Schizosaccharomyces pombe: one gene and its partner. Changing the gene in region 2 together with the main gene of any one other region gives a genetic interaction. Each region holds a gene or a part of one and is shown on either strand. Other genes may lie near its edges.

Evidence for each region.
Region 1: mutations in cip2 (region 2) and sey1 together harm fitness more than expected from each alone (negative genetic interaction), as found in Schizosaccharomyces pombe (one large-scale study listed by BioGRID).

The regions. Positions count from the first base shown.
Region 1 is NC_003424.3:973,065-978,735, reverse strand, and holds sey1 (GTP-binding protein Sey1), read left to right. Parts: upstream 1-1,997; 5' UTR 1,998-2,002; coding exon 2,003-2,159; exon of another isoform or gene 2,160-2,201; intron 2,202-2,272; coding exon 2,273-2,347; intron 2,348-2,405; coding exon 2,406-2,491; intron 2,492-2,598; coding exon 2,599-4,569; 3' UTR 4,570-4,893; downstream 4,894-5,671. Other genes in the region: meu13 (homologous-pairing protein 2), read right to left, coding at 99-403, 547-687, 730-831, 879-932, 979-1,027; SPOM_SPAC222.13C (6-phosphofructo-2-kinase), read left to right, coding at 5,495-5,671.
Region 2 is NC_003424.3:341,559-346,980, forward strand, and holds cip2 (RNA-binding protein Cip2), read right to left. Parts: upstream 3,614-5,422; 5' UTR 3,572-3,613; coding exon 1,841-3,571; 3' UTR 532-1,840; downstream 1-531. Other genes in the region: protein Mcp60, read right to left, coding at 1-297; efg1 (rRNA-processing protein), read right to left, coding at 4,281-4,493, 4,556-4,686, 4,749-4,881, 4,986-5,060. UniProt on the Schizosaccharomyces pombe protein: Regulates global gene expression after oxidative stress. Interacts and stabilizes mRNAs and may regulate their transition between different cytoplasmic components after oxidative stress.

The DNA of each region.
Region 1 (5,671 bases), 630 kb from region 2:
TATTTATATTTAACTATGGATAATGACTTTTCTTTGAGCTATATAAATTTAATGATTAAAATGTTAAAAAGGGATCAGCTAAATTTAAAGTTAAGTTTTTAGTTTAAGTCAATTGGTCCCTCCGTTTCAAATCCCAGTTTTTCCCATAACTGCTTAGGGTTTTCCAAGGAATCAGTAATTAAATGCCATAAATCATAAAACATTTTCTTTCTGTTTGAGAATCCTTTTTTTGCAAAATCGTAGTTTTTATCAGTCTTTTGCATTGCTTCCTTGGAAATTTGTTTAACGGTACCATTTCGAAGAGATTCGAGTTTTGAGCTGGTTTCTTCAATTTCTTTATCAATGCTCTGAATTTTTTCACGAATTTCGGCTGGACTGAGTGAGTTATTTAAAGCTTGTAATTCTTTTAGAGTTAGCATAAAACAAGTGCTGTGTACGCTCAAAACAAATGAACGATACCATCAATAAAACTTTGATCTGTTTTAAATCATGCATATTATGTGAAGTATCATTCTACATTTTAAAGAATAGCATTTATTTACTGACCAATGCATTTCTCTTTGTATAGAGTTTTAACAACTGAAACCTCATCTTTTAGTTCTTGAATTTGCTTCTCCATTTCAGCCAATTCTTCAGGAGTAGCAGCTGCCAAGTCATCTTGAAGACAAACGAACACACTTTGTTTTCCTCAGTAATCGTTAGTAATCTGTTTAACTAATTTTTCAGTACCATATAGTTTCCCATGGATTAGTCCAGTGTCGCGTAGCTGCTCCAATGCTTTCTGCGCGACCTGTTTACTGACAACATTTTTCAAATTAGCACTAACGTCAGCTTTTAACAAAATTGTCAGCTTCGATTTTTTTAATGTATGTTCTTACTTGCAGAATAGGGACGATTCGTTTTTCGTAAATACTCGTAAACAAGTTTTTCAGCTGCGATTGATTAGCTGAATACCAATGCCTTTTGTCAATATTATACCTTCCTCTCCTTTAATAGGTTTCGCTTTTACTTCTTTCGCCTTAGCCATTTGCTACAATTGCGATGTGTGAGGAAAATAGTAAAAGCGCGATGTAGCATCAAACATTTATATATAATATTTACGCGTGGCGGAGACAACGCGTTTTCCCCAAGCCATTCTCCTTTGTTCTTAGCTAAACTAAGGAAGAAAATCCATGAGAAAGGATTTTAACTATTTTACGCACCTATATAAAGTACTCATAACGATGGGTTGAATTGCGCATCGTGTCAATGAAAGAAGGTTGCATAGGATAGTGAGACATTAGTACAAAGAATTCGATTCCTAAAGCTATGCTAGAAATTTTATTAAATTAAATAATTTCCAACCTTGCGAAGGGCTATATTATAGTATGTTTGTACTTTTTTAGCATATTCGGCAACGTCAAAAACACTTCACAAATTGAATGAAACCGATATCGTCGAATACTACGAAGCGCTTTTGAGAAACGTTTAAGCTACACTCTTGATTTTGCATCTAATACCTATTATTAAGTACTGTTCTCTGTAAACATACAAATCTGTTTCCTTTTTAGAAAAGCACAAATTTCCTGTCTGTAAATGCGATAAGTCTTTGAAGACCATTGTGAAAAGATTCAAAACAATGGCCGAATGACTCTTTAAAATACATTCCTTTCTTCAACTAAATCCTTGGTATTTTCTTTCTTTAAAAATCATAATTTTAACAAGAAAATATATGGAGCTAACAGACAAACATCTGAACATTCGCAGAGTAACTTAGTAAACATTAGAAAGGAAGAGCTAACGAGTGTTGTTATGCCATTGCTAGTTTACTATAGGAAAAGTATCATCTGTTTCATGATATTTATATAAACAAAATTATGCAAAACCTGTCTTTTTACAATAATTTAACTTAAATAGTTATATATTTGTTAATGAATACTGAAAATGTTGTCAGGATATATTACATCCTCGACATCACACTACCTTATATGTTTGTTAACTTGTCTTCCGCTTACACCAAAACATGAGTACTGCTTCCAATAGGGTTTCCACACAAATTGTGGATGAACATAAACAATTCAACAATGAATTACCAAAGTTTATGCAAAGCGTAGGACTGTTAGATGCTGGTTTCAACTATCATGTTGTTGCCGTTTTGGGTTCCCAATCTACTGGCAAGAGTAAGTAGATTAAAATCAACTTGAGAGTTCTATATCCAACCAATGTTATAACATCCTTTTAAATTGGATACTTAAAGCTTTCACTGAGCAAATTTGATTAACTCTATGATTAGGTACATTGCTAAATAATTTATTTGGGACTTCATTTTCAGTAATGGATGCTTCCAAAAGGCAACAAACTACTAAAGGTAAATCTATTATTTCTTTTTAATTAAAACATCTGAGCTTGCTGCTAATTTTTGTTAGGTATTTGGTTGTCGAAGGCAAACAATTCGCCTATTCTTGTAATGGATGTAGAAGGCACCGATGGTAGAGAGCGCGGTGAAGATCAGGTAAGATTTTAATGCGAACTAATTTGTTACTATTAGTTACACATTAGTATTTCCTTTACTCATAATTGATCAATATTTTCTTTTGGAGTCATTACTAACCAACCTAGGATTTTGAAAGAAAATCAGCTTTATTTTCCATTTCAACTAGTGAAGTAATTATCGTTAATATGTGGGAAAATCAGGTTGGTCTATACCAAGGCTCAAACATGGCATTACTTAAAACAGTACTAGAAGTCAATTTACAACTTTTTCATAACAAAAAAGAAAGGTGCTTGCTTCAATTTGTTATTCGGGATTTTTTGGGAAATACTTCAATGGAAAATTTAGCAGATACTATTATGACCGATTTGAATAACATTTGGGCATCCCTTTCGAAACCAGAAGGATTCGAAAATTCCGTAATTAATGACTTTTTTGATGTTGGCTTCACTGGTTTACCACATAAGATTTTATGTTCTGATGCTTTCAGTGAAGCTGTTGATAGTTTGCGTGAAAGATTTGTGGATAACAATAATTCTGATTACATATTTAATGTGAGTTATCATAAAAAAATCCCCGCTGATGGTTTTTCTCTTTATACTCGTGAGATATGGGACACCATTGAAAACAACAAGGACCTTGATTTACCTACACAACAGCAATTGCTTGCTCAATATCGTTGCGATGAGATTATTACTGAAGTAATGGAACCTTTTTCTACTGCTTGTACTATTTTACAAAAAGAGTTTTTACCCGGTAATTTATGCAAGGACCTTCCTACCAAGCTCTTAAACATGTTTGAAACTGTTATCGAAGCTTATGATCGACAGGCTAGTAGATACAACGTGCATATCTATCAAAAGAAAAAGCAGGAGCTTATTGCTTCGGTAGATTCTCATCTTTATGTATTTTTCCAAGCCCAGTTGAACGCTCTACACAAGGAGCTTATTAAATCATTTTTTGACGCCTCAAATGAATTTCCCTCTGATACGCCTTTTAAAGAATCATCTTCTATTAAAATTAACGAACTTGTCAACAAAATGCGTGAGGAAGGTGAATCTTTGTCTTTACCACATGTTCACTGGGATGTTGATCCATTTATTCTAAAATTATCGGAAGAGTTAACCCAAAATTCCGAAACGCTTTGTAAGGAAAAGTTGAAAGAGAAGTTGGAAGAGTTGTTTACTGGGTTCGAGTTTGAAGTTTCGGAAGCTGTTGAGGTCGCTTTCCAAAAACTTTCTCATAACGTTTGGGATACGCTTCTCAATGAATTCTTAGCTGCTCAAAATACTACTATTGAAAAAATAAAAAATATTGTTCCTTTTTATGTGGATATTGATGATACTAAAACAACGGAAGAATATATTATCAATTTTAAAAAGAACAGTTGGCTGTTTTTTAGAAAGAAAATTGATTCTGAAATGAGCGAGGTTTTACTACAGCAGCGTTTACGAGTTTATTTTGAAGAACTATTTCGATATGACAGTGATGGGATGCCAAAATTGTGGAAGAAGTCGGGAACGATTGACCGTGATTATCGGGAAAGTTTAACCAAAACGTTAGACTTGATCAACGTTTTGGCCTCTATTAAAGTTTCGGATGGCAATTATCCGGACTTGAACGTTGACATAAAGACTTTGGAGCCAGAGTATACCTCGCCAGCTTCATTTTTTACTATTCTAAATCGTAGACGTGTGTCCGACATATCTGTTAATTTCAAGAGATCTGCGGATTTGATATTTATGGACTGCAAACGTTCCGTAATCAATACAACCACCAGAATCCCCCCATACTTTTGGGTATTGCTAATAGTCCTTGGTTGGAATGAATTTATGGCTATTCTCCGCAATCCATTCGTTTTTATGATCCTTATGTTTGGAGGTACTGTGGTTTATGGTTTATATATTTCTGGCTTAATTTGGCCTGCGAAGATGGTTTTGGAACGGGCCACTAACAATCTGGTTGATTTAGCTACAGATAGATTTTCTAATACTTATCAAGAGCAAGTTCAACAAAGAGCTATGCAGAGGACCGAGAAAAGCGGTTCACCAGTTGCATCAGCCGATGACGCCGAAGCAGAAAAAACTGCGCTTTCATGATTCGTCTGCTATAAAGAATAACGAAATTGTGGCATTTAAAATTCACCTGTATAAATCGCTCACTGGATTTTTTTATTAAGTTACTGTCTGATTGATAGACTAATGTTTGAGCAATGATGAACCTATTAACCTGATATTTTACTATTGCTTCCTTTTCAGTTGCTGTAAAAAGTCACTGTCCTGGAACAATTGTATCGTTTATTTCAGTTCTAGGTAGCCTTACCACTTTGGTGTATGCTCAATCTCTATACTTAATGAAAAATGGTTTTACAGCTTGATCATGTACATATCCTGAATAATCTTAGTAATGTATAGTAACACATAATTGGTTTTATTGCAATTTCCATTGCTGCAATAAATGCATTGTTATTCTTCAACCTATACCAAGCATTTGAATTTTATAATTTAACTGCATTTTTTAGGCAATCGTTTACAGTGAAAAAATCTGCAGTTACGATAGTGCATGTAATGAGACTGTTTAAGAATGATTTTTTTTCGAAGATAGCATTTATTAGTGAATAAAGTTGGCCGAAGATATACTGAATGTCTGTACAAGAAAACCAAGTCGAATTTCTAGAACACAGTCAACTATGAATTAGTTTCAACCATATCAGCAACCATGAATTGTGATGTTGGTGTTAGAAATTTTCTGTAAGGACTTCATTCTGACGATGATTTCATTCTCGTCAGATCAATGTACCACCACGCCTAGAAGTGAGTGTGTATTTGCTAGGTTACTTGAATTTAAAGGAAACTATTAGCATTGAAGAATTGAATAGTCATTATCATTAGTCAACCCTTTTGAGTTAACAGTCAATAAGAAGGATTGGGAATTCACCATTCATTTTGGCTCTGCCAATTTTCGTTCAGTCATAAAACTCATCTAGAGAAATTTCTGCAAAGATTAAACGTGAGATTCTTTGCAATGTCTAATACAGGTTCCGCCCGTACTGAGGAATTTACCAAAGGAACTGGTTATGAGGCTACTAAACCCAACAACGATACTGACGATGATGCTAAGCAGAATTATCCGTCAAAGGAACCACATATGAAACTTGGCGATTATACAGAAGAGACTTCATTTGTAGATGATAGTATCTTC
Region 2 (5,422 bases):
GTTTTCGAATTTATCTTTCAAACTTACACTACGGGCGACAGTTACACCGTCCTTAGTGATTTTAGGGGAACCAAAAGGTTGGTCAATCAAGACATTACGGCCCTTTGGTCCCAAAGTTACAGATACGGCACGAGCAAGAGTATCGACACCGGTGAGTAAAGATGCGCGAGCATCAACACCAAATTTTAAGTCTTTAGCATATGTACGAACTTGAGGGACGGCAAATCTGCCGGGGATTCGACGACCAGCAATTCTTAAAGGTAGACGAGATACACTGGAAGAAAGGAAGCTCACCATTATGTTTAATTAATGAAATAAAATGAAGTTGTAAAAAATGGTTTTTTTTAATGCACCCAAAAAGAGATATAAAGAAATGTAAAGTTATCTAACGCAAATACAACCCACACGTTAGGAATATAACCAGCTAGCTGTCCCTGCAAAAATAAATGCTTGCAGCTTTTAGATATATTATTGGTTTTAAAATACGTGAAATACTCTTCACTATTTTCCGCTTAATGAAATTCCAAACAAGGCTAGGCAGACGATAAGTTAGCTATAATAGACATTATATATACTGTGACTGCCTGATATTCTAGAAAGAACTTTGATGGGATAAAGATTGACATGCCGGCAAATAGCCAATAGAAAAGCGACCAAATTTTAAGAATAGGTTTGGTAGCTTCTTGAAGAAAAATATCGAAAAATAGTGTATTGCATTGTTTATCGCTAAACGGCTTCTAAAAAATTAAAACATATAGAGCAAGAACGGGGAGCGTTTTCATTTAGTCGATTTACAGTCATTAAAACCTCTAAAAAAAATGCGGTGCTCGACTATGGTCAATGTGCCGTTTCTTCGTGATTATTCAAATAAGAAAGATCAACTCAATTTATCAAATTAAAAAGTCGTAAATGTTCTATACTTATTTAAAAAGTAATACTAAACGATACAGCAGATACGAGATACGTTTAGACAAAATCATCAAGTATCCACTAAAAACAGTGCGAAAAAAAATAATAATAACAAAAAAAAAATAGTGCAATCATATCTTGACGAAAAAAATCATACAAATGACAACCGAACTCTCATAATCGAAATTGAATTCTTTAACACATTATCAAATCAATAACACGGAAAAGAATTTAGGCACAATTAGCCAAACAGCCATTAAAATGAAGCCATCATTCGTAATAGTTAAAAACCGAGTGACACTAACGTGAACAAGCTGGGTCCGTACAAAACATATGAGATATAGAAATTGAAAAGGTATTGATAGTAACGAAAGGTCCTACACATAAGAACAAAACACAATCAAAACAACAAATTATTGCAAATAACACCATTAACATCCCACGTAAGATCGGTTATCGTAAATTTTATTTGAGACTTTTGCTGTATAGCTCAAGCATCGTATCCCAGTATACGAATCGTCAAACCGGATTTGCGATACAAAAGTTTAAAAAAATCTCACAAAAGAAAATTCCATTTTATTCCTCTCAAAATAATCATAAACGTGACTTTGAAGAGAGAAAAATATCATCTATTAAATTAAATCCTTTTCGTTTTACAAGAATCACATTATAGTTTAAAAGCATGAGCCCGATCACATGCACATCCGAAGTGAGTATGTAAACGATATAAGCATGAAAATCATGTCCTCAATTGAACACTAGGTCGTAAAAATGGATAATTCATTGAGATAATTTCACTCGTCGTTTTTATGTACAAAGTATAAATTTGCTTGAAAGCGCTTATTATCGTAAGGTAAATGAAACTTAATAAAACCCGAGACATAGCCAAAACAAGATTAATCAAAAGCAGGGAAAAACAAAAAATCCAAGACTAATTCTTTGTAAAAGTTCTGGATCCAATAGCACCGGTGTTTGATGGAGTAAGGCTTGCAAAATAATCGTTCATCGCACTACCGTTTAAAGTATTTGATGAATTAGTCGCATTGCGATCCAGTGGAGAGGAAACATTTAAATTAGCAAAAGGAGTAGCAAGTTCTAACGGAGTAGCTGGCATACTACGTATGTCGGAAAAGGCTTTAGAATCATTTAGTCCTCTGAGAGAACGTATGCTATCCGCAAGATGCATAGAGGGAGCGGGTCGTCTAAGACTTGAAAAATTACTAGAAAGACCACCGGACGAGAAAAGACCATTGTCAAATAAACCAGAGGAGCTCAAGTGATTTGCAAGACTTGGTTGGCTCAAATTGGAAGCACCTAAAGAAGAAGGATTTAAAGTACTGGCGTTTGGGGCCATCAAAGGAGAGTGGTTAGCACTCGAATTATTAGCGGGAGTAAAATGAGTACTAGGCATGGTAATAACCACTTGCTTAGCTTCACCGTCACCAGTAACTGAATGATTGAGATTGAGACGGGAAGCTAATAAGGCAGCAACCCGACGTTCTTCCTGGGTGGTTGAAGAATCAAATACAAGATCATTAGTGTTATCGCTGCGATAATAAAATAACAAGATATGAGAATATACATTGAGTATAGCTGGATCATTCAAATCAAAATCAATGCCAGCACCTATATTGGCAACAGAAAACGGAGATTTCAATTGATTTTTTCGTTCTTCTACAGCGCGTTTCTCTTGTTTACCACGCTCAACACGTTCACGCTCCGCAGGCGGTAGTTGACGCTTCCATTCAACACGAAGACGACGACCAGTAATTTCATAGCCATTCAAAACTTGCACAACCGTTTTGGCTTCCTCTGGAGAATGGAAATTAGCAAAGGCAAGGCCCCTAAAAACTCCGTTATCAAAATGATAATTAAAAGCGTATGGACGTGGGATGTCTAATGCAGTGAACACTTTAAACAACACTTCTTTCTTCAAGGAGAATGGAATATTTTTAATAACAATCGCGGTAGGAATGGTCTCTTCATCAGGTTCAGGGGGTGCCGTCAAAGTTACAGAGTTGCTCATACCTCTAGACAGAGCAGTGCTAGAAGCTGAGTTTGGTACATGTGAATGGGATGGTTCGTTGAATGCATTTAAACTATCAAAAGGGTATGTTGTTGAGGAAAGTAATGAGGTAGTAGCAGGTCCAGAATTTTTGAGTACATCTAAAGCACTTGCAGACCGGAGAGAAAGGCCTGCTGAATTAGTTGCTTCTTTCCAAGCAGTTTGAAGACGAGTTCGACGAGGCTTTGCAGATGGATTATTGGCAGTTGAAATTTCAGGATCCAGCATTTGTTTAAGGGAACTTGGTAAAACCGTAGAAGAACCATCACCCAAACCATCATCTGCATTGTTGTGGGAAAATATGCCAGACCCTCCCATTCCAGCACTGTTAACGGCTGCATCAGAAAACGTAAACTTATCACGACCATATCGGTTCTCGAGATATCCTGATCCTCCAGGAATATTAAGACCTCTCATTTCTTCATCTTGAGCTCCATTTAATTCATCTAATTTGGGGAAAAAGTTGGACCGTTTTCTACGCAGAGATGCAGCCTCAGAATGGAAAGTTAAAGGGGAAGAAGCAGGAGAAAGAGTATTAGTTGACAAAAATGCCTGCGACAAAGGCGTTAATGGCCTTTGGCTTGTGCCCTCAGCCATATCGACACTAAACAAGTCGTAACTTCGTGTGGTGCGGAGGTTAGGTATCCGTGGACACCACCAAGGGCGCAAAGTCAATATACTACACCATATTATTGAGGTCTTAAACCCATAAATTCAAATATACCAATCTATAGAAGCAAATGTAAAAATAATTATTATAAAATGTATATACTACATACTGGTGTTGATTTTTAAACCCCCACTAGGTAACTTTTTGCCAGGCAAATAACAGGGTACTGTGATGATAAAACCGAAAGTCCATCTAAGAGCTCTTAAAAACACTGCTGCAATGATAAAGACTATTAAACTGTCTAATAATTCGACCACCTAAAACAGAACAAAATGAAAGTCCTAATTTTTTGTTTTTACTTAAATTCTTGTAAATTTATATTTTTATTAATTTGATATTCCATGAAATATCATTCGAATTTTAGCATATTAGATTATAGAATGAAATATGTGAAAAATATCTTCAGTGAACCTTAGGATCCAAAAGCTTCTCTCCCACAAGTTCTATTTTTGGTACCCTAGCAAATCCCATTGCAATATGACATAGAAAAAATTTAAATAAACTTGCATAAAAAGAATACCTTGCTCGATAACTCATATGGAAACTTCACAACCTTTATTAAAAAGAATGAATCATATTATTACAGTTTCGTCTATTTAATCCCTTTATTTCCAAAACCTCAATCCAAGTTTTCATTTATCTTTGCAAAAATTCATCTTCCAAATCACCACCAGTTGAACTTTTTTCCTGTACAGGAACCCTGTTGGAACCTGAAGATGGTATTTTGTGTTTTCTGCCACTATTAAAGCGTTCTTCCATCTCGGCCCAAATGCGATTTCGAGTTTCTTCGGTCTGTTCAGATGTGCCTTCTGCGTAGAGTGAAACATACTTTGTTAAAGGGGGGTATTCCTAAATAGGTTAGTATCTTAGCCAAGTTGATAGTTGAAATGAAGTCGAAAATACAAACATACTTTAATATACATAAGATCAATTTGACATTTACGCATCGATTTCTCACACTGCTTGCGTTTCTCATCATCCATAGTTTCATCCTTCAAAGATTTTTCCAATTGTTTAATACGTCGTTCTGCTTTTTTACGTTCTGAGAAAATCAGTAAGCAAGTTCACTGAACAAAAAATGCTGTTTTTATATATGTTTCATACCAAAAAATCGAACTTTTTTGTATCTTTCAAAAATCTTTTGCTTTTTATGCTCTAACTGTGCCATAGACAACTGCTCTTGTAGACCCAAAAGAGCTCGTTCATGTTCAACACGAATGTTTGCAGGCAAATTCTCCTTAAAGGAAGTTAGTTTTCTTATTCATTAACATAAAAAGGAAGGTAATATTTATTACACACTGAAACCGCAGATGTTTTTAAACCAGCAAAAAAATTACACACCTTTTTCAATAATCTCTCATTGTCGCGAATTTTTTTCTTCAGCACAGAAAGTCCAGGGCCCTTAAATTTTGGCATGCTAAAACGCTCAATAAAATAGATAAATAGAAATTCAAACCATAAACAATTAGTTCTGGTGAAGAACAGTAGTAAACTTAAAGGACTGCAATTTTTACAGCTGCTAGGTTCTCAAGTGACACGTTACTTTTATATATAAGTTTAAGCTGGTAATTATGATTAAAATATTTGATTCACTCACACTTATTCAAGGTAGATTTATATGTTGTACTTGTGGAGTGATTTAAAAGCTTAGACTTTCAACAGTACATCAAAGAATCGCTTGTTCGACACCGAAGTCACCCTAGAGATTAAAAAGTATGCAAAAGATAGTTAATCTAGCAACCGGTCTGTATTTTAATACTACTATTGTTAAGAGAATC